7 linked regions of the Macaca mulatta genome follow. The protein of the gene in region 7 purifies or fractionates together with the protein of the main gene of each other region. This does not show direct contact. Links are inferred from orthologs where the notes say so. Each region holds a gene or a part of one and is shown on either strand. Other genes may lie near its edges.

Region 1 (4,169 bases), on a different chromosome or scaffold from region 7:
TTCACCCACTGTCCTTTTTCCCTTCGAGGCAGTCTTGTAGAGATTCAATATCCAGTTTCCTGATCTGCCCTCGGTCCCCAGTTTGACTGTTCTCACTGCAGCTAACATCCCCTACTCGGTGAGCCTGTGTCTCCTCGAGGTGTTAACCTGATAAGGACTCTCTGCTGTACACTCTTTCACGATCTCAGGTCCTTCAGGAGAACCTCATGCCCTTACCCCCACTTCAATCCTATCACACTTGTCATTCCCCACTCTTCCCCGCTCTATACTCTACAATTATTTTTTCCCCAACTCCTGCTCATAGCCAGTCCTTCATGCTTCATTCATTCAACAAACATTTACCGAGTCCTGCTTTGTACTAATCCTTGGTCATTCAGTAATGTATAAAACGTGATTCTTGTCCACAATCACACAAGAAATGATATCATCCCTTTGCCAATTTATGTTTCTTCCTGTCCCTGCGGACCTCTAAAGCTACTCGCACACATACATTTCACTTCGTTATCAAAACCAATCCTATTATTGTTTGCTCTTCTCCTCTACAGTCATCCCACCGGTAACCTCCATCTCATTAATCACCACTTTGTGGCCCCTACCCCAGCCCCTAATTCCTTTCTATTCTCTGGAGGGCCAACTGCCCTTCCTTTTAACCTTCTGGTCCCCTGGCTATTTCCCTTCTTACGTCCCTTTTCTTGTTTATCCAGCGGGGGTGGGGGTCTCCCTAAAATTCCTTACACCCTGCTCCCCTGTTAACGCTTTCCTCAATCTTTGATCGCTCGGGTTACCTCTTTTTTTGCGCCCACGGCTGCCCCCAGGCCCTTGGCCTTTACGTTGCTTCATGATGAGCCCGAGCTCTTCTTCATCAGCACAACTCTGTCTCCACCACCTAAGCAGCCGCCTCCCGCCATCCCTCCCCACGGCGCCTGCGTTCCCCGGCAACCGGCGCCGCTGGGCAGCCTGGGAGGCAGGGAAAAGCCACTCTTCCTCTAACAGTCTCCGGAAAACAGTGGGAAGAGAAGGCGCCAAGACGCCTTCCCGCCAATAGACTACAATACCCAGGATGCTTTGCTACAATACCTCTGCGGGGTTGGCTGGGGGCGCCTCCGGCTGCGCAAGCGCATACGGATACGCCCGTTGAGGACTCCATTGCCCAGGGTGCATTGCCCTGAAGACGGCTCCTCTTTCCGGTGAAAGTTGTCGGGTTTCCAGTTGGGAGTCTGCGGAGTTCGCAGACTCTGTTACCCAGCTTCCTTTGTGTGAGGGCTGTTGCGCACTTCCGGTGGAAGTGCTGAAGCGAGTGGGTGGAGTTTGCAGAGCCGGTGGGCGGTAGGCGGTGCTACCGGTAGCTGGGTGCTGTCCAAAGGCGACTGGGCGTCGTTAGGGGAGCGAGTCGTGACCGGTTGGGCCACACTCAACGTGGGACGAAGGTTCGCCTACTGTTTGACTACGTGCGTGCAGCCTTTCCTTGATGTCGGCCCTCGAAAAGAGCATGCACCTCGGCCGCCTTCCCTCTCGCCCACCTCTACCCGGCAGTGGGGGCAGTCAGAGCGGAGCCAAGATGCGAATGGGGTACGTGACCCATACTCCTACCTAGGGGCCAGGCCCCGGCCATTGGAGAATGGTGGCTCTGAGCGTTCAGAGAGGCACGGGGAAGGAGTCTACCGATAGGAGAAGATGTTGGCGGCGGCCTGGAGATATTTAGATGGAGTAGAAGGCAGATTGGGGAACTAGGGGAGGCGCCAAGTCAATAGAAACTGGAGGAAAAATAATGTTGTTGGAGGGAGAGGGGAATGAGGCAAAGGTTGGGGAAGCTGAGAGACTAACATAACTGAGAATCACCTCCAGAATGAAGGAGGTTTAGAAAAAGGTGACAAAGGTGGAGGAAAATCGGCCAGGGAAGGTGGAGGGAAATGGGGAATGACCGAGAGAAAAGTTGAGGGGAATTGAGGCAACAACTAAGAAAAGGTTTGGGAGGAGTGGATATTGTAAAAGTTCTAATATGTATACTGTGAGAACTAGATAGTAGAAAAGCTTAGGGAGTTGGACAGGGTTGGAGAACGAAAGAGGAGCACTAGGAAGCAGACGATTCTAGATAATTCCCAGAGGTCTAAAGACAGAGTCAGGGAATGAGAGGTGAGATTAGGCCTCTTAAGGGAGAATGAGAAAGTTTGGGGAGTAGGCCTAAGGTAAGGTGGAGAATATAGCCATGAAGATTGTTAAGGGTAATAGGAATGTGCTGAGAAGCTGGACAGGATAAGGGAGAGAGAAGAAGGAGAGGACTGAAGAATTTGCAAAGTGACCATAGGCTCTAAAGATTGAGAAATAACTATAAATGCGGTTTGGTGAATGGAAGTGCTGCAGTTGTAAGGTCTGGGAAGCTTAGAGGAAGATTTGGGCAATCAGTTTTTGCGGGGCTAATAGATCTGAGGGAAGCAATGTACTGGCCTAAGACTTTGAATTAGTGAAGCATTGGGAGTTAGGGAAACAGTTTGCTGGAAAGAGAGGAGAGCCATGTTGAAGAGATAGGCTTTGGAATTTTAGATCATTAAATGGCTTGTGCCAGGTTAGGGGATACTTGGGCCGAGGACAAAGAATGAGGTGAACATGGGATAATTGCTGGAAAGTGGAGACAATTGAATAGGCATTTGGTTTTGAGGGGATATTTGTAGTTTCAGACAGGATTCTGGGAATTAGTGACTGTAAAGAGAAAAGGAGTAGGAAGGATACTTAGGTATGAGGACTCAAGAGTATATTTGGGATTCTAGAGATGAATTGATAAATATTCTTTGAAAAAGGACTACAGAAGAGAAACCTTAGGTTCTGAAGAAGTAATGTGTGTAAAAACTTACCAAAAGAAGCGAGAATAGGAGATGCAGTACTGTGACAGTAAGTCCTAGGGATGAAAAGAAAGGAGAATCCTATAAAACAGTGGGGTAAAGGAATGGGAAGAACAATTGGAAAAACCAGGGAAGGAAACTAAGAATTGAAGTGGAGACCTGCTGTGATATACAGTAGAAAAAGGAGAAAACCTTAGCAGGGGGAGATAGAGAGATGGACGCACAATAGAGGAGGTAGAAGGCTACATAGAAGGTAAAGTGAAGATTATTTTGACTTTGGAAGATCGAAAAGTTGGACTATAACATGAATAAAGAGAATTTGGAAACTGACCCATAACATTATTTGGGAAAATTAACCTGGAGTTTAATATTAATGTAACATTAATTGTTATATATCTTCATTGCTGCCTTTCTTAAACTACAATTTGATCTTTCAGTATACCAGCACTCTTCTATACAAATACATAAGAAAATCAGATTTTTAATAATTATACATTCTTTAGATAAGTTTAATTAGGGCTCAGCTTCTCATTTTGTCAAAACAAGTTCTCTGAAGATTGAAGAACTGGGTGAAAATACTGAGAGAAAATAAAAGGAAAATCTGCTGATTAGAAGATTGTATAATTGTTAGTAATTCATCGTTTTTATTTTGTATTACTTTTCATTTTATTTTTTTTAGAGACAGGGTCTCGCTGTGTTGCCCAGGCTGGAGTGCAGTGGCACAATCTTGGCTCACTGCAACTTCTATCTCCTGGGTTCAAGTGATTCATGTGCCTCAGCCTCCCAAGCAGCTGGGATTACCGGCGTGCACCACCATGCCCGGCTAATTTTTGTATTTTTAGTAGAGATGGGATTTCACCATGTTGGCCAGGCTGGTCTTGAACTCCTGGCCTCAAGTGATTTGCCCCACTTGGCTTCCCAAAGTACTGGGATTATAGGATTGAGCTACCATGCCTGGACAACTTACCTTTTTAAATAGATGCTTTGGTCTTCTTGGTTTAGGGTAACTGCTTATCCTGGAAAAGAAAGTTCTTTAGAAAGGCCTTTCTGTATGGTAGTATTGTGAAGAAAATTCACAAAAATATGGTAGTATTGGTGAATATTTGTGTGGTCCTCAAATGGCTTATTTTCCCGTATTTTTCTTTTCTACTTTATTGGTACATAAGCAGGCTTCATCTAAGTCTCATGGTAGTAATAATGCAGATTCTCTTTCTCCTTAGAATCATAAAGCTGAAAGAGAGCATAGACATGGATCATTTCACCACTTCATCATGTAGTTGAGGAACTGAATATTCAGAGAGTTCTGTATTCTGTAAGGGAATGTATTAATAA
Region 2 (3,906 bases), on a different chromosome or scaffold from region 7:
AGGGTTCCACATGGACTCCAAGAAAGCAGTGCTTAGTTTTCTCATTCAGTTTGTGGCTGAGAAGTTGTCATTTATCGTCTGTACAATAAAGCAGATGTGTATGTGACTTCCCCTTTTCAGCGGTGGAGACACTGAAGCGGTCTGAGGTTATTTACCCAGAGTCCTCAGGCAGGTCTGTGGTGGAGCTTCGGTGGAACTAACTGGAAGTGACTCCATGTTTCCAGTCCAGGACCCTGGGCAACCCTGTGGTAATTGTGCCCTGATATAAGGACCAGTAGATGGACTACATTGTTGACTGACCAGAAAATTCTGGAACTCCCTAGCGCTATATTTTTACCTTGACACAAAATGAAATTATGACATCATCATGGGAACACAGGACTTCTTTCTTTTTATTTTCAGACCTTGCTCGATTTTTCCAAGGGTTGACTGATCAGTCCTTGTAATGGAAAAATGGAAATGGGAAAAAAATCATTGTGGAGAACCTGTAACATCTTCCATTTAACCTATTTGATAACTGGCTTTGTTCCAGAATCTAGAGAACAAAGTGAAAGATGCCGGCTTTAGAGGGCAACCAGTAACTTTGTATCTAGACACAATTCCTTGATAAGAAGCCAAGAACCTAGCCAAAAACTTTTAGAATCCCCTTTTTCTTTGGTGTTAGAACTGACAGCTGCTAAGAGTGTATGTGACTCTAGCGGGGAAAGCGGCTCATCCAAAAATAATGACAGCCAAATACTTTGCAGTAATACTATTTGTTATCCAGGGGTGTCCTCCGCCGCGTATAGCCACCATCTCTATTTTTGCCAGGGTTGAGGGGAATCGCTTACAGGTGTGGCGGGCCTGGAAATGGTGGCGTGGCCGGTTAGGGCGGAGTTGATCAGGAAAAGATCAGGACTTTATGGCAGAACAGAGTCCAACACCGTGCTCGGAAGAAAGTTCGAATATTTTGTTCGCTTTGGTTCCGGCAAGCCATCGCACAAGCCAGAATCTGTAACTCCAAACAGTAGCGCCCTCGAGCACGGTCCCCAACACGGTCCCCAACACTCACTCCCCATCGGCCTGGTCTGCGCCCGCAATCCGTCGCCCCCTTTAAGAGCTTGCTCCGCGGGACTAACGTTCGAACGGGCCTTGGCGCCCCTCCTCGGGCTCCGATTGGCCGTGCGCGGCGCACGAGGGCGCGCCGGCCAGCCGCGGAACGGTTGGCGGCCCTTCGTGATTGGCGGTCGAGGAGTCTATATAAGGCGCGGGGCGGCCGGGCTGCCCTGTTTAGCTACCGGACCCGAAACGGGGTAGTTGTCTGGTGTAGAGAGGTCTGCGGGGCAGTGAGCGCGCGTCACCGGAGTCATTTCTCTTCGGAGTCTTAGGTGATCAAGGGTGTGCCCACGGGGCGGACTTGTTTGCGCCTCCCGTTCCCTCCCAGTTTCCGAACGTAACACCCCGGCGCCGACGGCCCTGTGCAGGGGAGGCAGGATGGAGTTCAAGCTGGAGGCTCACCGAATCGTCAGCATCTCCCTGGGCAAGATCTACAACTCGCGGGTCCAGCGCGGCGGCATCAAGCTGCATAAGAACCTCCTGGTCTCGCTGGTGCTGCGCAGCGCCCGCCAGGTCTACCTGAGCGACCCGTGCCCCGGCCTCTACCTGGCCGGTCCCGCTGGGATCCCGGCGCCGCCACCGCAGCAGCAGCCCGGGGAGCCGGCGGCCGGGCCACCCGCCGGCTGGGGAGAGCCGCCCCCGCCCGTCGCCCGTGCCTCTTGGCCGGAGACCGAGCCGCAACCGGAGCGCCCTTCCGTCTCACACGCGCCGCGGGTAGGGGACGAGGTGCCAGTGACCACGGTGACCGGAGTCGGGGACGTTCTTCAGGGCGGAGAGGCGGACGCGACGGAAGCTGCCTGGAGCCGCGTGGAGCGGCCGCGCCAGGCGGCGGCCGGAGAAGCCGAGGGTCCCGCCGGAGGCTGGGGCGTCTTCCCCGAGGGATCGCTTGCCGCGCGCCGCCCCTGCGGCTGCCCCCTAGGCGGGGAGGACCCGCCGGGTACACCGGCCGCGACCCCCCGCACTGCCTGCTGCTGCGCGCCGCGACCAGCCGAGGACGAGCCCCCCGCGCAGCCCGCAGTGTGCCCCAGGAAGCGCGGCGCGGCGGGGGTGGGCGGCGGCCCAGCGGGCTGCCCGGCGCCCGGCTCGACCCCGCTCAAGAAGCCCCGCCGGAACTTAGAGCAGCCGCCGAGTGGAGGAGAGGACGACGACGCGGAGGAGATGGAGACCGGGAACGTGGCTAACCTCATCAGCATCTTCGGTTCCAGTTTCTCGGGACTCCTACGGAAAAGCCCCGGGGGCGGCAGGGAGGAAGAGGAGGGAGAGGAGAGCGGCCCGGAAGCCGCCGAGCCCGGGCAGATCTGCTGCGATAAGCCGGTGCTGAGAGACATGAACCCCTGGAGCACAGCCATCGTGGCCTTCTGAGCCCTTGGCCCCCATGCGGGGAGGAGGTTGAGCAGCGGGCGTCCTCGAAGTGAGGGTCGGGCCCTTGCTGGCTGCGAGGACGCCCAGAGACCGCGGCCGCTGAGCGCGTTGGGCAGACTGGTTGCCGCTGGGCATCGCAAACTGCCCCCGGGCGCATCTGGCTTTTCTGGAGACCTGGGAGCTTGAGGCTCATTGGAAGAGGACGATCTTTAACTTTTTGTGTTTGTGTATGTCTGTGTATGTAAGTTTGTCTTGTGGCATTAAGACTATTTTGTTCTGGAATGCACCACTCCTTCCCCAGGGCTTAAGAGATTGGGGGCAGACAGGGACTTTCCTCTGCCGGCTGCGTGGAGAAGGAAGCGGCTAAAAGGTTTGGGCCGGGGAGTTCCCCATTCGTTCTCCGGGGAGGGAGGGACTTTACACCCACCCCTCACCGGAAAGCTAGACCCGCTTCAGGGCCAGGAGTGGCGTTTCCGCACAGGATTTCCTAAGACGAGAGGGATTTAGGCAGCAGCACAGACTTGGATTCCTTCTGTCCCTCCCCACCTTTCTCTCCCAATGAAGAAACGTTTATATCCTGTGATTACTCTAGGAAAGGGGCATATTAACCGTCCTTTGCTTCCCCGCAGGGGAGAAAAAGCTTGAACTTCACAGAAGAGTTCAAGCTTGGAAATAATGGAGTTTATAGAGAAAAGATATATTTTTAAAAGCTCTAGGTCAGAACTACTACACAGTGCTTTTAAAAAGTGTTTAATGAAAGTTTACAGACAGAAGCCCGAAGTGGAAAGACCTTATGGTTTTGTAGATATGGTGACTCCAGTCTTTGTTATATAAAGGTTGGGGGAGCTGATAAGGTTTTTGTACAGTATTTTCTCCTTCGTTGTATTGATTTTTGTATAAAAATGTAACTTCTACGTGTCTAACACGTATTAAATATTTTGAAGCAACGTAACTGCCTGCTTGTCTGCAATAACCTGCCTGGGTTGGGAGGGAAGTGGGAGGAGGGAAACCAGGGCCTGGGCTAGAAAATTGAAGGTGTGGTTCTTAATATCAGTCATTCGCAGACTGAGAACATTGTTTACTGACTCCACTAAGTATCAAGAGAGACACGTTTAATTTTTCCTCCTAGATCAGAGGAATGCTATTAGATACTAATATCAGCGACCTGCCAGGTTCTTGAAACCTACCGCTACAACTGGCTTTTCTAAGGTCGGTTTAGACCAATTTGTCACCCAATATGTGGGTATATATTATTAAGTAATTTAACCATCAGCTTTTGAAGCCCTGCTTATCTGCAAAAATGTTTTTCAGCAAAACTTTGTTTCCTGTTAAGCTGTTAATATGGGTCATCTTTTAGCTTTGTAATTGAAAAAAAAAAAGTTTAGATAGTTTACCTTAAAAGCCCATTCGAACTGACATAGGAAGATGAAAGAGACTGACTTGTCCAAA
Region 3 (4,040 bases), on a different chromosome or scaffold from region 7:
GTGAGAAGATTAACAATTTCTGTGTTGAAGATAATGAAGTTTAAATACCTCTGGAGGCAGGGCAAGTTACCCAACAAGAAGTCAGACTATTTAAGTTTGAATTTGAAGAACAAGGTTGAGAATGGGAGCACATGAACACTATTACTCAGAAGAGAGAATTTTAAACCTGTGGACACAGTCTTACCCTCAATGCAATTTCACTCCATCTTGAGGCAACCATCAAGAGTTGACCAGTTCCATTTATTTTCATAGTCGTAAAAATTCCACAAAATTGTTAGTCTCTGTAAGTGATAACTTTAAAAAGTCAGAGCTTTTGTCTTGTTCTGAGTCATTTTTCCCCTTTCCTCTTTGTATGCCATTCTTTCTGTCAAACTATCTAGTTAAGGAAGCTATATGAGGTATAAGGAAGAATATTAAGAAAATTTTGTTATTCTTATTGTCTTAATTGTAAAGGCAAAGAAAAGAACATTCGACTATTCTACCTTTAGCAAAACCTAAGTTAAATAATGATTTACCTATGTGACTCTCCACTAATTTTCTCTTGCAAATCATCACCCCTTAATTAATGGACATCCCCAAGGCAGTCAACTCAAGCTGTAGCTTTAACCACAGAGGTTAAACAATTCAGTCCTGTTGTTGCTGTCAGAAATCCAAGTTACACTGTACCTTTGTCTAATCAATGGTGCCCTACTTTGGTGGGAGATGAAGGAAGGGACCTGTTGGCAAGGAAACAGCTGCTTCCTTCCTGAACAAGGGAAAACCAGTAAGGTGACAGATGGGCAGAGCAGAAAAGTAGCCAAAAATTGCTCTGGCTCCTGGTTGGCAATAATTTTTGGAACTGAGGCACAACTGAATATTTTAAAGTATATCAACAATTGAGAGAGAGTATTGTTTACCTGGGCGCGCCAAAGTTCAACAAGCCTTCCCACACATTTTCTACATTTGAAAAACTTTTACGTTTGCAGTAGTACAAAGAGCTTAGCCTTAGCCTATGTACAGTGGGCAAAGACTGCAAGGCACTGTCCCATTTCACTTTAGGATTGCACCCAAGCAAATGCACTTTCTGGTTAAAAAAAAAAAAAAAAAAAGGAAAATTTTTATTTTCTCTATAATATAGTTGTATGACTGACTAGAATTACTATTAAAATCTCATTAAAAATGTTTTCCTTAAAAGTTTACTTTTATATACTTAATTTGAAAGGATTTGTTGCAAACTTTTATAATTTGTTCTCTAATCATTCCCCCTCCCACCCACTTCGGTACCCAGAAAACTAAATATCCAAGAATTCCTGGGTAAAACAGACAACCACTAGATTGATATAACTAACGTATTTTTTTTTTAAGCTGTATAGTTCTTCATCAAATGGAAATCGGCAAACCACTGAAAATAACATTAAAAATTAGTGTGGGCATGAAGTATGGAATTTTAAACATCAGTTTACTATGCTGATTAAGTCAACATTTATATTTTCATCAGAACTTAATAATCCCATAAATAAATAGAGCTCTCAATTATTTAAAAAAATCAAGGGATAACATATGTATTTAGACATAGTAGCAGCGTAAAGATGTATGCTTCAACACACTTATTGGGGAAACGTCTGAAAATATTACTACACTGAATTCAAAGGTATCCGCAGGAACCTGACATAGAAGTTCTCTAGAATAACATCATTTCAGGAAATTTCAAAAAAGAAAAGGGGTCGAATAGGAAATAGCCTCAAATTAATTGACAAAGTTCAGTGTTTGCCCCAACTTGATTATTCTCTCTCTCCACTGCAAAAAGAAAGTCTCAGGATGAGTGAATCACTTAGACGAAAGTTCATCTAGTGGAATAAATGGAGAAGCCGCTTGGGCAGGTGACACAGGAGAGTCGGTGGTAGTGCTGACTTTCGCTGGTGAGTTACAAGAAGATCCGGCACTGCTGCTGTTTCCATCAAGGGTATCCGAAGATACACACACACCAGGATCTGACAGCTGTGCAACGTCAGAAGAAAGCATGTTGGTGATGCCCTGGAAAAATCTCTTTGGCTGATAATCAGTTTCCATTTCACATTTTCTTTTCAATGGTCCAAGAACACTTGGTCTAATGCAATTGATGGGGCTCTGGCTTCTCCGTGTGGTAAATCGGGTCGTTGGGCTGGGAATAGGGCTTGGAGGCAATCCGTTGCTACTTACAAAACTTTGCAAGGATGGCGAAAAACACTGCTTCCCAATTCCCCGAGTGGGTGACGGTGCCGGTGACACAGGAATGAAATCGATGCGCTTGGGGGAGGCGGATTTCTCCACGTCGTTGTCACTCAGGCTGAAACTTTCCTCCCAGGAGTGGCTTATCTGCATTGCGGTCTGCACCTCCCGTTCGTGGACCGTCTCTCGGTTGATCAAGTCCATACCCTCTTCTTGTTTGATCTGGTGCAAGCGGCTGCTGTGCATGCGGACAGGGGAGGCCGGTAGCAGCAGGCCGTGGCGGCTCGGGAACGTTGTGCTGTTCCGCCTGGCGCTCGGCGCCTCGGCCTGGAACACCGGCGAAGTGTCACTGAGGCCGTGGATCAGGGGGGCGCTGTTAGACCTCCTGAGGCCCCCGCCGCCGCCGCTGCCGCCGCCCTCCGCCGGGCTCCCGCCCGTACCCGGAGGCAGCTCCAGGTCTAGCTCCATCTTCTCCTGAGCCATGTCGGGGGCAGGGAGGCGGGGGAGGTGCTCAGTCAGGGACCTAGGATTCCCATTCCCCGCAGTCCAGGGCCGCCGCCGCTGCCGCCGCCACCGAGAATCTGTCAGCGGGCTGGCCCCTCTGCGCATGCGTACCCCTTCGCGCAGGCGCTCGCGATGTCCGTCCTCGAGGCGCCTGCTTTATGCGTAATATCTGCGCGGCAGTGGTAGGGGAGGGGCGAGGAGTAGTCGGGCCGCTAGTCCGTATATTCCTTCAGCAAATAGCTATTGAGCGCAAACTGGCATTGACGAACGTCAATAAGATTGTCATATTCTGGAGTACATATTTATAAAACGAACAAAGCCCTGAAAGAGAGGCCCATGGTGATGTGGGGCTGTATGACGGGGAGTGGCGCTTGCGAATCAGGGAGGGCTTCCTCGAGGAAGGAACAGTGTCCTGAAATCCGAAGAAGTGGGCGAAATGGGTGCGATGTAAAACTTCGCAGGAAGCGGGAAGCAAGGGCGACCCAGCCAGGTGGCAGGCGGGAACCAGGAGGGGAGGAGAAAGTGTGGCCTGGAGTGGAGAGTGAGGGCTGGCGTGACGTGAGGTGGTGGACCAGACCACATTCTGGTCTTTATCTTGAGAACAATGAAAACTTAAAGGGTTTTCAAGCATGGGTATAATAGCAACTGAAAAGCTCACTGGCCTGCAGTCTGGAGAACAAATACTGGGAGATTAAAACCTTACAGAAAAAAGGCCAGAGAGGATGGTAATTTGCACTAAGGTGACAGTGTGGAAGTGGAGATGGAGAGAAAAGTAAATGAGAACTGTTTAGGTTAGGGGAAAAAGCCAAAACCGGGGATGGTACTGATACTGATTTACAGTCATAGTTCCAGCACAAGCATATGTGTGAAGTATGAAGGATTAAAGGAAAACCAGTAGGTCCTCACATTTTAAAAATAAAAACACTATTCTTGGCTCATGTAATTAATATGAAACCTTGATAGCTCATTAAAAGTGAGTTTATTTGTTCATTTATTCAGTCAAGGTTTTTTTTTTTTTTTTCCAGCATACTTACTATGTGCCAAACACTGCTAGGAAATGGGCCCTAGTCTGAGAACTTTTAATTCTTACTGAGGGGAAAATACAGAAATAAACGCAGGCTATTTTCAGATAGTGGTAAAGCCTTAGGAAAAACAAGATGGTGTGATGGAGCACTACTGATAGAAGGCAGCGGACAATTAGAGCTGAGATCTAAATGACAAGCAGCAGCAAGTCACGTGGACATCTGGGGAATGAGTATTCCAAGCAGAGAGAATAGCAAGTGCTAAGGCCCGAGGCAGCCATGAGTTTGTTGAGTAAGCGGAAAAAGAAAGAAGGGCAGTGCTGCTGA
Region 4 (2,139 bases), on a different chromosome or scaffold from region 7:
CGGTGGCCTGCGGCTGCACCGGAGTCTGCAGCTGTCGCTGGTCATGCGCAGCGCCCGGGAGCTCTACCTCTCGGCCAAGGTAGAGGCCCTCGAGCCCGAAGTGTCCTTGCCGCCCGCCCTCCCCTCTGACCCTCGCCTGCACCCGCCCCGGGAAGCTGAGTCCACGGCCGAGACAGCGACCCCCGACGGTGAGCACCCGTCTCCGGAGCCCATGGACACGCAGGAGGCGCCGACAGCCGAGGAGACCTCCGCCTACTGTGGCCCGCGCCCCGCCAAAGTCAGCCGCAAACGACGCAGCAGCAGCCTGAGCGACGGCGGGGACGCTGGACTGGTCCCGAGCAAGAAAGCCCGGCTGGAAGAAAAGGAGGAAGAGGAGGGGGCGTCATCCGAAGTCGCCGATTGCCTGCAACCGCCCCCGGCGCAAGCGGAGGGCGCCTTTCCCAACCTGGCCCGCGTCCTGCAGAGGCGCTTCTCCGGCCTCCTGAACTGCAGCCCCGCGGCCCCTCCGACGGCGCCGCCCGCGTGCGAGGCAAAGCCCGCCTGCCGCCCGGCGGACAGCATGCTCAACGTGCTCGTGCGGGCCGTGGTGGCCTTTTGAGGACCCCGAGCGGCGCTGCCAGATCCCAGAGCGCGCGTCGAACCGTCGTCCGGAGGGCGCAGACCCGAGACGAGGCCACCCCCCTCCATCCCGGGGGTAGCGCCCGCGAAAACCGTGGAGAGAAGCCGCCGCCCGGGCTGCTGAGAGGCCCGGAGAGGGACTCTGTCCCCGGGGAGCCATCGCCTTCAGTGTGCAGCGACGGCACCGAGGAGTCTGAGCCGGGGGCGCGGGCGCCTTCCGCAGAGACCTGCGCCCAGAGGTGCTGTCTTAGTGGACTGGGACGTGAACCTTTCGCTCTCCTTCTGGACTGGGAGAAGGGAAGCTTGGGTTTTTGTTTTGTATTTTTGTTTTGTTTTGTTTTTTAGATCTCAGGGTCGGACTTGATTTTGTACTGGGGGCTGTGGTGGCCCTTTTCAAGGTTTTTCAAGAGTTGGTTTTGCGTTTCCAACCTCGGAGAATTCCAGGCACTCCCCTTCCCCCTCCACTGACATACTTGTGTAAGCGGTCATCGTTGCGTCATGGGGCAGGCGTGGGGAGCTTCCTGTCGCCTTGCGTGGGTGTGGGGCCTGGGAGGAGGGTCTGGGGCGTGCACCCGCCCTGGGGAGTGGGGAGGAGAATGGCCTGAGTCACTTCACCCCCGCGTGCTGCTGGTTAATGTCCCGCGCCTCTGCACCTTCGGGTGAGAGCGGGGGCTGATCTAGTTTCACATTCAAGTTTTTCTCATCTGCATTAGAGGTGCCCAGTAGGTTCCCAGGTTTCAGCGTGCCCCTCCCCCAGACACGGACACAATCATCCCAGAAGTTCCTGGTCTGAATCACGAGAATGTTGGAGGGGTGGGGGTGTCAGTGGAAAGGCATAAAGCTGAGCTGAGGCCAGTTGCTGGTGAAACTGGGCCAATCTGGGGAGGGGAATACCTTTGCCAGGGAGTTCCTGAGGGTCTGTTTTGTTTACCCTTCGTGTGGTGAATTCTTTTTAATTCCGTCTACCTGGCGTTTTGTTAGAAATGTCAGATAGGAAAATAAAGACCATTTGAGTAAAAAAGCCGGTGCTGTCTGGTTTTCTGCTCTGGTGGGGGAGGGGCGGGGTTAAAGGGTCAGGGGCTGGCGGCGGCTCGCTGGGGCCCCAAGAACCGGTCTGACCGGTTACCACGTGGGCGGGAGAGGGCTGGGCCCTCTTTTCCTTGCCCGGGCATTCCCTAACTGGAGCCCCGCCCCCTCCAGATTTGGGGGTTCCCTTGAAATTGTCCTACAACTCCGGGACAGGGAGGTCGGGGCTTTCTGAGTTGAGACGATAGTACTAAACAGTGCCCCAAGCGGAGCTGGGGACTTATCGCCCTTTGAAGCCTTGAAAGGTGGTCGATCTCTCCCCCCGCCCCCACCCCGAGACCAAACTGAATCAGCTGCGGCCGGGGCCCTACAGCCTCAGGTGGAGCTGAGTGGGTGAGCTTTGAAGGGCTATTTATGCCCCAATTCCCGTATCTTCCTGGAGAAATCGCTTTGTGGCTTAGGCGGGGACGTGCAGCCTCAGTTTCTTCATCTGTG
Region 5 (3,500 bases), on a different chromosome or scaffold from region 7:
GTTGGGGAAGACCCCAAGGAGCTGGTCGTAGCTATTTCCCTGAGCCTTTCTTGTCATATCATTTTTCTCCTTACACGGGGTTTGTGGTGAGCAAGGAGGGACCAGGCAGAGTGGGATTGCCTCAGTCCCTGGTCCACGCGCTTGTTTGAGCCAAAAGCTTCCCGTACCATGCAGGCAACAGTGCCCCTTGCCTGCCCCTCCTGGCCTGGCTCCACCACATCAAGGCCTCGCCAGCTGCAAGTTTCTGTGGACGCTGGTCACAGCAGGCGGCCCTGCCCCCACCTTGTCCTGCCCAGTCTCGAGTCCCAGGCTCAAGAAGGGTGGAGAGTGGGCCGAGTTTCCCCGTAGCTGGACGACGCTGCCCTCTGTGATCTCTGCTGCTGTGGATTTCTGTGCTTCAGAGGTGGAGATGGGATCATTTAGATGATTTTTGACAATGGACGGACACTGGCTCTCAAATTAACAATGGGGCTGAGGGCACTCCCCTGTTTTCTGGTCCCAAGCTTTTAAGTATTTACAATCCATCTCTGTTGACAAGTATTTTAGCTTAAACTGCGTTCCTTCATGGGAACAACAAAGACCTGTCTGTGTATTTGAATTTCTTACAAATCTGTGTTTAACAAAAATTGAAAAGGTGCTTTTTTGTTTGCTCTACTTTCGAAAGTTCTAAGAAGCTGGGGTTGTTTAAAAGTAACTTGCCAACTTCTCGTACATAGTAGGTACTTAATAAATATGTCTTGAAAGAATGAATGAACAAGGCCAGGCTCGGTGGCTCACACCTGTAATCCCACACTTTGGGAGGCTGAGGTGCTGGATCACCTGAGGTCAGGAGTTCGAGACCAGCCTGGCCAACATAGCGAAACCTCATCTCTAGTAAAAATACAAAAATTAGCTGGGCGCGGTGGCATGCTCCTGTAGTCCCAGCTACTCGGGAGCAGAGGCAGGGGGCAGGAGAATTGCTTGAACCTGGGAGGCGGCAGTTACAGTGAGCCAGGATTGTGCCATTGCACTCCAGACTGGGTGACCAGAGCAAGACTCCATCTCAAAATAAAATAATAATAATAAAAAAGAATGAATGAACAGATAAACAAGTATGCTTTTCCTCTAGTATTAGTATTAAATAACAATGTATGTCTTTTACAGTCCATGTATTCTGTGTAGGTTCTTTCAAAAAATATGTCATTACCCCAGTGGCGATGATAGCCCATTCGCCTCAGTAGTTGTGAGTAGGGCACACAGCCTTACTTCAGGTTAGTCACAGGATTGATTTTTATGTCTGCCTAACCCAAACCCAACCAAATCCTTCATGTGATAAGTTCTCAGGACTCAAAGACCATGTGACATTTATATGTTATTCTCCTAATGTGCAAAGAAGGAAAAAACTCTTTCCTGGCTCCTTTACCCAATACTAACTGTGTTTCAGACAAATAAGATAATTTCAGGGAGCTAGAGCATGGTGATTTATCATATACAAACCAGTTTATATATAAAAAATACACTTTTTAGGTTTATGATTTATCATATACAGACCATTATTTCATTTGACCCTCATCACAACCTTGCGGGTCTGTGATTAGCCCAGGCCCCTTGGACAGTAGGAGGGGCAAAGCTAGGACTCCGGGCAGTGTGTTTGACCCCAAGTCCAGCAGGCCTGGTTTTGTCCTCAGCTAAGAGATGACAATGGGCATGTCATCCTCCCGAGGACGCACAGATAGCGCCAGGGCAAGCTTTCCCTGTGGCAGTGGCTGCACACTTTATCGTAGGTGTGGGCCTGAGCCTTCCTGGTCATATCGTTTTTTCCCTTTCCACGGGGTTTGTGGTGAGCAAGGAGGGCCCAGGCAGAGTGGAAGGAGGAACGTTGGGGGGTGCCGAGGGAGGTTTTCTTTTTCTATCAAATTGTGAGTGTGCGACCAGACTGCGGCAGAGAACGAGCCATGCTCTCTGAGTGTAGAAGCTGCATTGTGAGCACACGTGACGATCTGAAGGGGTTAATTCTCCCCCGGGGGCTGACTTGTTCCAGAGAAGGGCGACAGGCCTGGAGAGCAGTTTGATGCCTTTTCCTCTACGAGGGCTGTGGGATTTGACTCCTGTAGAGCTGTTGTTGTCAGTTTCTCTGTGTGATGGGGGAAACCTTTGCTGAAGCCTTTTGGAACTTTTGATGGCCGATCAAAGAGGAGTGATTTGTGAAATCGGTTATTTTTCCCATCTGCTGGATGTGAACAGTAAAACGTTTTTGCAAAACCAAAATGGGGAGTTCATCTGGCTTCAAAACAAGGAGACCAGCCCTGCAAAGCAGAGTTGACTTTCCAGTGGATCCAAAAAGTGCCGTTCTGACCTCAGCCAAGCATTGCAGGCTGTGAACAGCAGAGTCAGCTTTGAGGATCCTCCAGAACCCTCTGGAAGGCCTATGAGGACACTTCTCAGGTTTTGATACACTTGACTATCCAACATTTAACTCCTTGCCTTGGGTCTCCGAGTTTAATTTCCTGCTGTGTCATAGCAACTAAAGGGAAAGGAACATAAGCAAAGGTTCTGCAGCTGCACTTGCATGGCGAGAGGCTGCAAGGAGCCCAGGTGGCTGGGTGTGCAGTACCCAGTGTGTACCCAGAGCTCGGTACTGACTCAGTACGCGCCTGGACTTCCAAGCACCCTCATGCTCATGCCTCATTTTTTTTGTCATATCATTCTTGTGGGGCCTTAGGGCTGGGGAGACCAGGATGGGGAGAAGCGAATTGCCCTGTCTCAGGTACCTTAGGAAACCAGGGGAAAGCTGAGCTCTTATTTGGGGTGGCCTGACTTCCCCATCCTGGTCAGACCTCATGGATTGCCAGGCACTTTGAAAGAAGGAGGTCCGCACGTTGGAGGTGGTGAGTGCAGCAGGGTGGAAGATGCCTGTCTGCCTGCACCAGGCCTTGGTGAGAGGTCCTGCTGGCTTTCACTGGTGCCGGTGAGGAACCAGGTGGGATCCACAGAGCAATGAGGTGTTGCGCATTCCCGCTGGGTTTTGCGCCTCATTTCGTTTTCCCTACTTCGCTCATAACTTGTATGATGATTTCCACGTGCACTTTTTTTTCCAAACTAATTTTTTTTGTTTCTTTTGTTTCTGTGGCAAAGCAACAAACTGTAGGCCTTTCACAGGCCCCAGGCCCACCCCTGCTTTGTCTTGGGTCTTTCTCTGTGTAACTCAACGGCACCGACGGGAAGATCGGTGTTTGATGTTTGTGTGCATTGGGGGCGAGGTGTGAGGGGAATCATGAAAAACACGAACATTTGGTATTTTCAAATAACCCTTCTCCCGGGCTGTTCTCTCCTGGCAGGATGACAGTGCCGATTTGAGGTGCCAGCTCCAGTTTGCCAAAGAGGAAGCCTTCCTGATGCGCAAAAAGATGGCCAAGCTAGGACGGGAGAAGGACGAGCTGGAGCAGGAGCTCCAGAAGTACAAGTCCCTCTATGGAGATGTGGACAGCCCCCTGCCCACGGGGGAAGCAGGCGGGCCCCCC
Region 6 (4,012 bases), on a different chromosome or scaffold from region 7:
GCCTCTGGGGCTCAAGAGATTCTCATGTCAGCCTCCTGAGTAGCTGGGACTACAGGTGCCGGTCACCAGCCCAGCTAATTTTTGTATTTTTAGTAGAGATGGGGTTTCACCAAGTTGGCTAGGCTGGTCTCGAACTCCTGGCCTCACGTGATCCGTCCGCCTCGGCCTCAGACCCCATGTTTTAAAAAAGTCTGTCTCCTACACTGCATTAGTAGTTTCATTAATCAGGCACATAGAATTACCATTTCGGAGCTTGTGATCACCATATGTAGTTATCACTCCAAGCTGCTTAAATTCCAGTCTAAAACAAACAAAACATTCTAATTATTCTGTGCTACCCTGACAAGGGTAAGTGAAAACTTTCCATTCAGGTTTGTAAGAACGAGCTCCCAGACCTCCACCTCTTCCCCTTGCTGCCTCTGAGGACTCTTGGAGGTCTAGGGAGGCCAGTTTGGGTTTTCTTCCTCAAGGGATTAAAGCTTGTCCTAGTTTTGCTTCATTGTTGTACTTCTAGCATGCTAAAGAGCTAAAAAATGGGAGGAAGAAAATACAACAGAAGGCACCATTCCAGTACCAAACTGAAAAGAAACACAAAAACAAGAGAGCAGCATGTTTTTAACAGCTTGCGTGGAAAAAATATTGACTGGGGAGTTTGGACAGCACTGTTCATTTTCTCTCACCGCCCGCGTTATTTGTCTTACGGAGCAGGAGCCAGATACCATTCTGGAGAACAGGCCGAGGGAAGAGGTGGAGGGGTTCTGTGGAAGCTTGAGGCTGAGCGGAGAAATTAGGGCTGGAGATCCAGTGGCTCAGGGCCAGGATGAAGTCAGGGGAGGTGCTAAAGCCTTTTTCCTCCTGGCCTCGGGCACTCTCTTTGGTCCGCCTGAGTCTTAAGAGGGCACAGCGCGGATCACTCAGGTAGGTCCCTGGCCCCTTCAGACTACAACGAGCCGGATGAATCCCTGTCCCTGTTTCTTTCGGCTGGGGAAAGGACGCAGGGGTTCCATTCGCTTTCTCAGCCCACCCGTCTTCTTGAGTTCAGACCTACAACTCCTGCAGTGGGGGTCGGAAGGGAGTCTTAATCATCGGGACAGAAACTCAACTCCCCAACCTCTGCTAAACCCGCGTGGCGGCCTTCTCCCCTGCTGCCCGGGCGCGGGGCGGGGCCTGGGCGCGGGGCGGGGGCGGGGCCTGGGCGCGGGGCGGGAGGCTGTGACCAGCAGCAGGAGGAGAAAGAACATGGCGGGCGCATCGGGGCTCGGGACCGGCCCAGGAGCAGCTGGGGGAGATGGAGATGATTCGCTATACCCAATCGCGGTTTTAATCGACGAGCTCCGCAATGAAGACGTGCAGGTACTGGACTGAGGCCGGGGAGCCGAGGCGAGACCGACTGGTCGCGTGGTAGAGAAGGGGGAAGGCCTGCGCCGCGGTGGGGGTGGCCGGGGTACTGAATGAGCCGGACTCGTAGCAGAAACTTGAAGGGGGGGCAGGGAAAGCTCTGCGAGGGGCTGTGGTGACACGCCTCGACCCTCCCGGGGACCTCTCTGGTACCCCTGCTTCGGACCCCCTAAGGGGTCCGCCCGGAGCCTTGCCTTTCCAGGGCGGTTGTCGGGGAACCAGCTTCCCGCCTGGGCGCCCTATCCGGGCCGTGAGGTGGCCGCGCCTGGTAGGCGAGGGAGCTGGAGAAGCGCGGTGCCGGGCCGAGACGGGGCTGGAGCGGCTGAGGGGCGCAGGATGCCCAGAAGCTCTTTGAAGTGCCTCGGAATCCCTTCATCTGGGCTTGGAACTGGCTCGTCCTGTTGGGTAGAAAGAGGGGGTGGGATGGCCGATTAACCTGGACGACCTGGACGAGTCGTTGTATCAGCTCTGCGGGAACTTTTCTTTGAAACCACAGGCGTTGTATTCAACCGTTTCACCTGCTTCACCACTGCCAAAGTCCTCTCTTTTTAAGATTATCTTACTTCCTGGGTGTTGTATTGTCTTTCATTCATTTCTCTTCCAGGCCCTTCTGAGTGTTTCTCCCAGGAAATCTTCCGCCGGCTACTGAGGCCGAGTTACACTCCTCCGTTCTATGGAGGTTCCTTAACAGTAAAATCTAAGTAAAAGGTTATCTTCGTTCTTACCCCTGTGTCATTATTTCACCTGTTAGCACCTTTTGTCTTTTGATCTAAATTCAGCCGTTTCTTTACATTGTTCTTCTACTTTCTTTTCTGAAGCTCCGACTCAACAGTATTAAGAAGTTATCAACAATTGCCCTAGCACTTGGAGTAGAAAGGACGCGAAGTGAATTGTTGCCATTTCTTACAGGTATGTGAATCTTTGTTTAAAGAAAGGCAGGGACATTCATTTTCCAGGGACTTTCGACACTGACTTTTTTAGAGTTTGTTACCCACATTAAAATGAGCCAGGTGCTTTCTGTGCAAAAGAAACAGAACAGAGGATATTATTAGTTGTGGTTAGATATATTCAAACATCAACCATTTAGCTGTTGGGAAAGTAATTGATATGGGAGTATGAATTTCTAATTCGTTGTGCAAAACAGATCCAGGAAGATGGTTGATTGAGGAGAAGGAAGAAAATGCTGTTAGGATTTTGACTGGGCCACCTTACCGGTCGCATAGTGAATCTGTTCCTAGTTTTGTGTCAGTGTCCAGCTATGTGAGAGCTATCCATGTTGATGAGTCCCTGTTGTTGTCCCTTCCAGATACAATTTATGATGAAGATGAGGTACTATTAGCTCTTGCTGAGCAGCTGGGAAATTTCACTGGCCTAGTGGGAGGTCCTGACTTTGCCCACTGTCTGCTGGTGAGTATTTATAAGCTGCCTACCCTCCTAGAACTTTTGCAGTATAAATGATACACAGTTTGGTGATAGACACACTGCAGCATTTTTTATGCAGATCTTTTTATGGGCAGATAGTCATGTGAGTCATTGAGAGAAGAAATACTATAGGCACTTTGGACTCAACCCCTTTTTTTTCTGTGAATAAGAGAACTTCGTCCTTCTTTTCTGCATCTGTAGACTTACTAGTTTAGATGGAGGTAGAAAAAGGATTTGATTGTTTTAATGGTTCCCCCGCATGATGTTGGAAACCTTAATTCTCAGCTGGCAGCATTTTGTCTTTGTCAATTGTAACTTTTGCTTCTGACTTTCTGATGCAAATTGATGAATTTTTGATGAATTTGGTTCAATTTCATTGACATTTATTAAGAGTCTACTTTTTGGGAGGCCGAGACGGGCGGATCACGAGGTCAGGAGATCGAGACCATCCTGGCGAACACGGTGAAACCCCGTCTTTACTAAAAAAAATACAAAAAAACTAGCCGGGCGAGGTGGCGGGCGCCTGTAGTCCCAGCTACTCGGGAGGCTGAGGCGGAAAAATGGCGTAAACCTGGGAGGCGGAGCTTGCAGTGAGCTGAGATCCGGCCACTGCACTCCAGCCTGGGCGACAGAGCCAGACTCCATCTGAAAAAAAAAAAAAAAAAAAAAAAAAGAGTCTTCTTTATCAGACATATCGTAATTTACAATGTTAATGTTGAAGAAGACCAATGTGAGGGGGCTTGGTGGCACAAGCCTGTAGTACCAGCTACTCAGGAGGCTGAGATGGGAGGATCACTTGAGCCCAGGAGTTTGAATTCAGCCTGGGCAACATAGTGAGATCCCCATCGCTTAAAAAAAAAGAAAATGACCACCAAAGTGAATTGAATGAGGTCCCTTGCCTTTATGCGTCAACAAATAATTACTGTGCAGTCTTAAATGGAAAGGTGTAAGTACCTACAAAATACCCTACCCACGTAATAGAGGGGAGAAAGAGATTCACTCAGGGTGATCAGGGAAGACCTTGGGAGATGATGTCTAAACTAGGTTTTAAAGGATGACCAGGAATTCAACAGATGGACAAGGTAGGGATGTATGCGTCAGGGCTTTCAATACTGGGTAGTAATACTGATTCTGGTGATTTCTATCTCTAGTTCTGGTTTTTCCATGGAACTCCTGAGGTAGATTGATTAAT
Region 7 (3,500 bases):
TAGCTTTGGGTATTTTATTATCTTGTTTCTATTAAGGGACCACACCTGTGTTGTGGGGTTTTCTTTGTCTTTGGTGTTTTTTTTTTAAGTCTGTTCCCTCTCAGGCATTTGTGCTCTTACTCTCTTTCTTTGGAGCCAGTTCACCCAGAACTCAAAGGAGGAAGAGTGATAGGTCTTTGTTCACGTTTGCCAGAAAGACAGTCATGTATGGGGGACTATTTAGCTGTCGATTCTCTGACCCACCAGACAGAAATCATTTAATCATGTGTTCTCACTCACTCATTCAAGAAATACTTACTGAGAAGTTTTTATTTTTCAGTAAGGTGACCATATCATTAATGTCCAAGCTGGAACAGTTTTGCATGTAAAAGTGGACACTACCTGATTCGCACTCTAAGGCAAATATAAACCAAGGTTTTCTCAGGTCAATCAGATGTCATTGGGTTCCCTATGTATTAGTGGCTGAATCTGGACTATTAGAGTCTTGGGTGATGCTAAAGTTTCTCAAAATCCCCTTAAGGATTAAGGACAAAGCCAGGAATGGGTGTAGGCTTCCAAAGGCATGAGATGAAAAGACATAAAAGATAAATTTAGATTAAAGTTGAACTAGACATTTCTAAAATTTTCCCACAACTTCCTTTTTAAAATAAATTTCATGTTTTAAAAAAAATGGAACCATGTCTCTGGAAGGTAATGACTCCACAATGGAAGCCAAGTTCCCCTGAGATGAGGCTACCTGGAGGGGCTTAGAAAAATGTTTAGAATTTATAAAGAATGAAATTTTCCATCAGGGCTAAGTGATGCTGATATCTTTTGAAAGAGGAGGAACAGAAAGGAACAGGAACAGTGTGTGATTTGTTATTAGCCTCTTCTTTAACTTGGAGTTTCTTCAATGCGGCTATTATTTTGTGTGTGATAATAAATGACATTAGCATGCAAACTCTTTTCCTATGGAAGATCTTTGGTTCTGAAGTGATTTGTTTCTCTTGCATCCCAGGTGCCTGTCCTGAGACCCATGGACCTGATGGTGGAAGCCACCCCGCGAAGAGTATTTGCCAACGCACACACATATCACATCAACTCCATATCCGTCAACAGCGACTATGAAACCTACATGTCCGCTGATGACCTGAGGATTAACCTATGGAACTTTGAAATAACCAATCAAAGTTTTAGTATCCTTTCTTTGTGACCAAGAATCAACTGGCCTGAATCAAGAGTATTCAGGTACGAGTGGGCTTGGGGAAAATATGGAATAGAAATGCAACATCTAGCATTTGTGGAGAACTTGCCCCTTTGAAAATGTGCTGGCACCTATGAGACTCTTTAATCATAACAATAAAATTAGGGAAATATTGTTATTACAAGTGGCGAGCCAGGGCTGGCTCTGGATTGGGACTCTGAATCAATTCCTTCATAGGGAGGCATTTATGTGCCATGAATTAAAATTAGAGGTGATTTTATCAACAATAGGATAAGACCCTAGAGTTCAGATTCTTTCTCTGTTCCTTTCTCTATTAAAGGATTCACAAATCTGTATGGACTGCATGGACCACAGACATACTGGTTTCCATTATATCATAAGAGTGAAAATAATAGTGGCTGATATTTATTGAGTTCCAAGCACTTGCACTGGGAACTTTAAGTATAGTATCACATTTTTTACCTCATTGAAGTATATTATGCTTATAGAAAAGTACACATATTATAATTGTACAGTTTGATGAAATTTCACAGCTTGAACTCACCTATAACCAGCATGGACATCCAGAAACAGAACTGTACTAACAATTCTCAATCCCCTATCATGCCTCTTTATATTAGTAACTTCTACCCCCAAGGACATATTTGATAAAACAACCCTGTAATGTAAGTATCATTATCTCCTGTTTAATTAAAATATAGAAAAGTCGGCTGGGAGCAGTGGCTCATGCCTGTAATCCCAGCACTTTGGGAGGCCTAGGTAGGTGGATTTCTTGAGGATTTCTTAAGACCAGCCTGACCAACATGGCAAAACCCCAACTTTACTAAAAATACAAAAAAGAAATTAGCCAGGCATGGTGGCATGCACCTGTAGTCCCAGCTACTTGGGAGGCTGAGGCAGGAGAATCGCTTGAACTCAGGAGGCAGAGGTTGCAGTAAGCCGAGATTGTACCACTGCACTCCAGTCTGGGTGACAGAGCCAGACTCCATCTCAAAAATAAATAAATAAAAATAAAAAATATATAGAAAAGTCAAAAAAAAATGCCAAATAGCTGGGCCGGTATTTTCACCCCCACTATGTTGACCCTCTATTTCATAGTAAAAATTGGTCATTTATTGAATACCTATCATGTGCTCCATTCCTCACAAACCTGAGGCATGAGATTTATGAGGAATGGTACTGAACAACTCAGGCAACTGAACAATTGACCTAGGTATCAATATGGAGTTTTCTTTTCCACTTACCAGCCTCCCCTACTCTAACTCCATCTATCCATGAGCCCTGCCTCTAAAATATATGTCAAATCAACTCATATATCCCTATCTCCACTCCTACCTACCTACACTAGCATAAGCCACTGTTGTCTCTCACCTCTGTGACTGCAGCAATCTCATCTGGTCTCCATTCACTCTTGCTCTTTTATACAGTACAGACCCTTCAACATGTAATTCAAATATCATTCCTTCCCTGATAAAAAATAAAAAATAAATAAATAAATTCCAGTAGCTTCCCACTGAACTCAGAATAAAATCCAAGTTATTTAACTCGGCCTATAAGATTCTACATGATCTGGAACCTGTCTCCATCTTTGATATCCAGTCATGTCACTCTTCCCTAATTCACTTTGTTTCAGCCAACTAATCACTTTTCTGTTCCTAAGTAAACCTTATTCTTCCAGTCTTTGCATTTGCTGTTTCATCTTTCTAGAAAATTTTGCCCCTAGCATTCACATGGCTAGCTGCATGTCACTATTCAGGCCCCAGAGGTACTTTTTCCCATTAACTCTTAGTATCTACCAATAACTCTTTATCCCTGTTATCATCATGGTACTTACCATGATTTAAAATTTTTTTATTTATGTATTTTTGGTTTCCTCATATTAGGATGTAAATTCTACAAGAGCAAGGGTTTTGTATGAACTATTGCTGTTTTCCAGTATGTGGAACACTCTGACACATAGAAAATTATTGGACCTGTCAAGTTCGAAATAATAGTAGGGCATCGAAGTAGAGCTATCCAGTAGACAGTTGATCATAAAATCTAACCTGGAAATTTAATTTTAAGAGTTATAGTAAAGCTCCAAAAGTTTGTATATAGAATAGACCCCATAATGGCTCAAACAAATAAAAGATTATTTTCCTGTAAAGTCTAATATTGATGATCCCCATCAGCAGGCAGCCTCCTCCAATCAGTAATTTGGAAACTCGGGTCTCTTTCATCTGCAGCTCCCCAATGTTACCATGTTTATAGCATGACTGTAAAAGGGAAGGTCATGGAAGATCACAAGTGGGAGATT

What was found.
Region 1: the proteins of PPP2R2B (region 7) and PPME1 purify together in Homo sapiens (affinity purification with mass spectrometry; 3 studies listed by BioGRID and IntAct, with this or other methods). This does not show direct contact. The link is inferred for Macaca mulatta from reciprocal best matches to the Homo sapiens genes PPP2R2B and PPME1.
Region 2: the proteins of PPP2R2B (region 7) and IER5 purify together in Homo sapiens (affinity purification with mass spectrometry; 4 studies listed by BioGRID and IntAct, with this or other methods). This does not show direct contact. The link is inferred for Macaca mulatta from reciprocal best matches to the Homo sapiens genes PPP2R2B and IER5.
Region 3: the proteins of PPP2R2B (region 7) and PABIR1 purify together in Homo sapiens (affinity purification with mass spectrometry; 4 studies listed by BioGRID and IntAct, with this or other methods). This does not show direct contact. The link is inferred for Macaca mulatta from reciprocal best matches to the Homo sapiens genes PPP2R2B and PABIR1.
Region 4: the proteins of PPP2R2B (region 7) and IER2 purify together in Homo sapiens (affinity purification with mass spectrometry; 3 studies listed by BioGRID and IntAct, with this or other methods). This does not show direct contact. The link is inferred for Macaca mulatta from reciprocal best matches to the Homo sapiens genes PPP2R2B and IER2.
Region 5: the proteins of PPP2R2B (region 7) and MTCL1 purify together in Homo sapiens (affinity purification with mass spectrometry; 4 studies listed by BioGRID and IntAct, with this or other methods). This does not show direct contact. The link is inferred for Macaca mulatta from reciprocal best matches to the Homo sapiens genes PPP2R2B and MTCL1.
Region 6: the proteins of PPP2R2B (region 7) and PPP2R1B purify together in Homo sapiens (affinity purification with mass spectrometry; 4 studies listed by BioGRID and IntAct, with this or other methods). This does not show direct contact. The link is inferred for Macaca mulatta from reciprocal best matches to the Homo sapiens genes PPP2R2B and PPP2R1B.

The regions. Positions count from the first base shown.
Region 1 is NC_133419.1:74,579,613-74,583,781, forward strand, and holds the start of PPME1 (protein phosphatase methylesterase 1), read left to right. Parts: upstream 1-1,369; 5' UTR 1,370-1,468; coding exon 1,469-1,569; intron 1,570-4,169. Other genes in the region: C2CD3 (C2 domain-containing protein 3), read right to left, coding at 786-840. UniProt on the Homo sapiens protein: Demethylates proteins that have been reversibly carboxymethylated. Demethylates PPP2CB (in vitro) and PPP2CA. Binding to PPP2CA displaces the manganese ion and inactivates the enzyme.
Region 2 is NC_133406.1:38,498,408-38,502,313, forward strand, and holds IER5 (immediate early response gene 5 protein), read left to right. Parts: upstream 1-1,267; 5' UTR 1,268-1,473; coding exon 1,474-2,457; 3' UTR 2,458-3,406; downstream 3,407-3,906. UniProt on the Homo sapiens protein: Plays a role as a transcription factor. Mediates positive transcriptional regulation of several chaperone genes during the heat shock response in a HSF1-dependent manner. Mediates negative transcriptional regulation of CDC25B expression.
Region 3 is NC_133420.1:99,819,401-99,823,440, reverse strand, and holds the start of PABIR1 (PPP2R1A-PPP2R2A-interacting phosphatase regulator 1), read right to left. Parts: upstream 2,801-4,040; 5' UTR 2,797-2,800; coding exon 1,807-2,796; 3' UTR 1-1,806. UniProt on the Homo sapiens protein: Acts as an inhibitor of serine/threonine-protein phosphatase 2A (PP2A) activity. Inhibits PP2A activity by blocking the substrate binding site on PPP2R2A and the active site of PPP2CA.
Region 4 is NC_133424.1:13,727,093-13,729,231, forward strand, and holds the end of IER2 (immediate early response gene 2 protein), read left to right. Parts: coding exon 1-598; 3' UTR 599-1,639; downstream 1,640-2,139. UniProt on the Homo sapiens protein: DNA-binding protein that seems to act as a transcription factor. Involved in the regulation of neuronal differentiation, acts upon JNK-signaling pathway activation and plays a role in neurite outgrowth in hippocampal cells.
Region 5 is NC_133423.1:79,814,582-79,818,081, forward strand, and holds part of MTCL1 (microtubule cross-linking factor 1), read left to right. Parts: intron 1-3,317; coding exon 3,318-3,500. UniProt on the Homo sapiens protein: Microtubule-associated factor involved in the late phase of epithelial polarization and microtubule dynamics regulation.
Region 6 is NC_133419.1:112,506,952-112,510,963, reverse strand, and holds the start of PPP2R1B (serine/threonine-protein phosphatase 2A 65 kDa regulatory subunit A beta isoform), read left to right. Parts: upstream 1-1,212; 5' UTR 1,213-1,239; coding exon 1,240-1,353; intron 1,354-2,002; exon of another isoform or gene 2,003-2,106; intron 2,107-2,216; coding exon 2,217-2,307; intron 2,308-2,704; coding exon 2,705-2,805; intron 2,806-4,012. UniProt on the Homo sapiens protein: The PR65 subunit of protein phosphatase 2A serves as a scaffolding molecule to coordinate the assembly of the catalytic subunit and a variable regulatory B subunit.
Region 7 is NC_133411.1:155,548,701-155,552,200, reverse strand, and holds part of PPP2R2B (serine/threonine-protein phosphatase 2A 55 kDa regulatory subunit B beta isoform), read left to right. Parts: intron 1-997; coding exon 998-1,175; intron 1,176-3,500. UniProt on the Homo sapiens protein: The B regulatory subunit might modulate substrate selectivity and catalytic activity, and might also direct the localization of the catalytic enzyme to a particular subcellular compartment.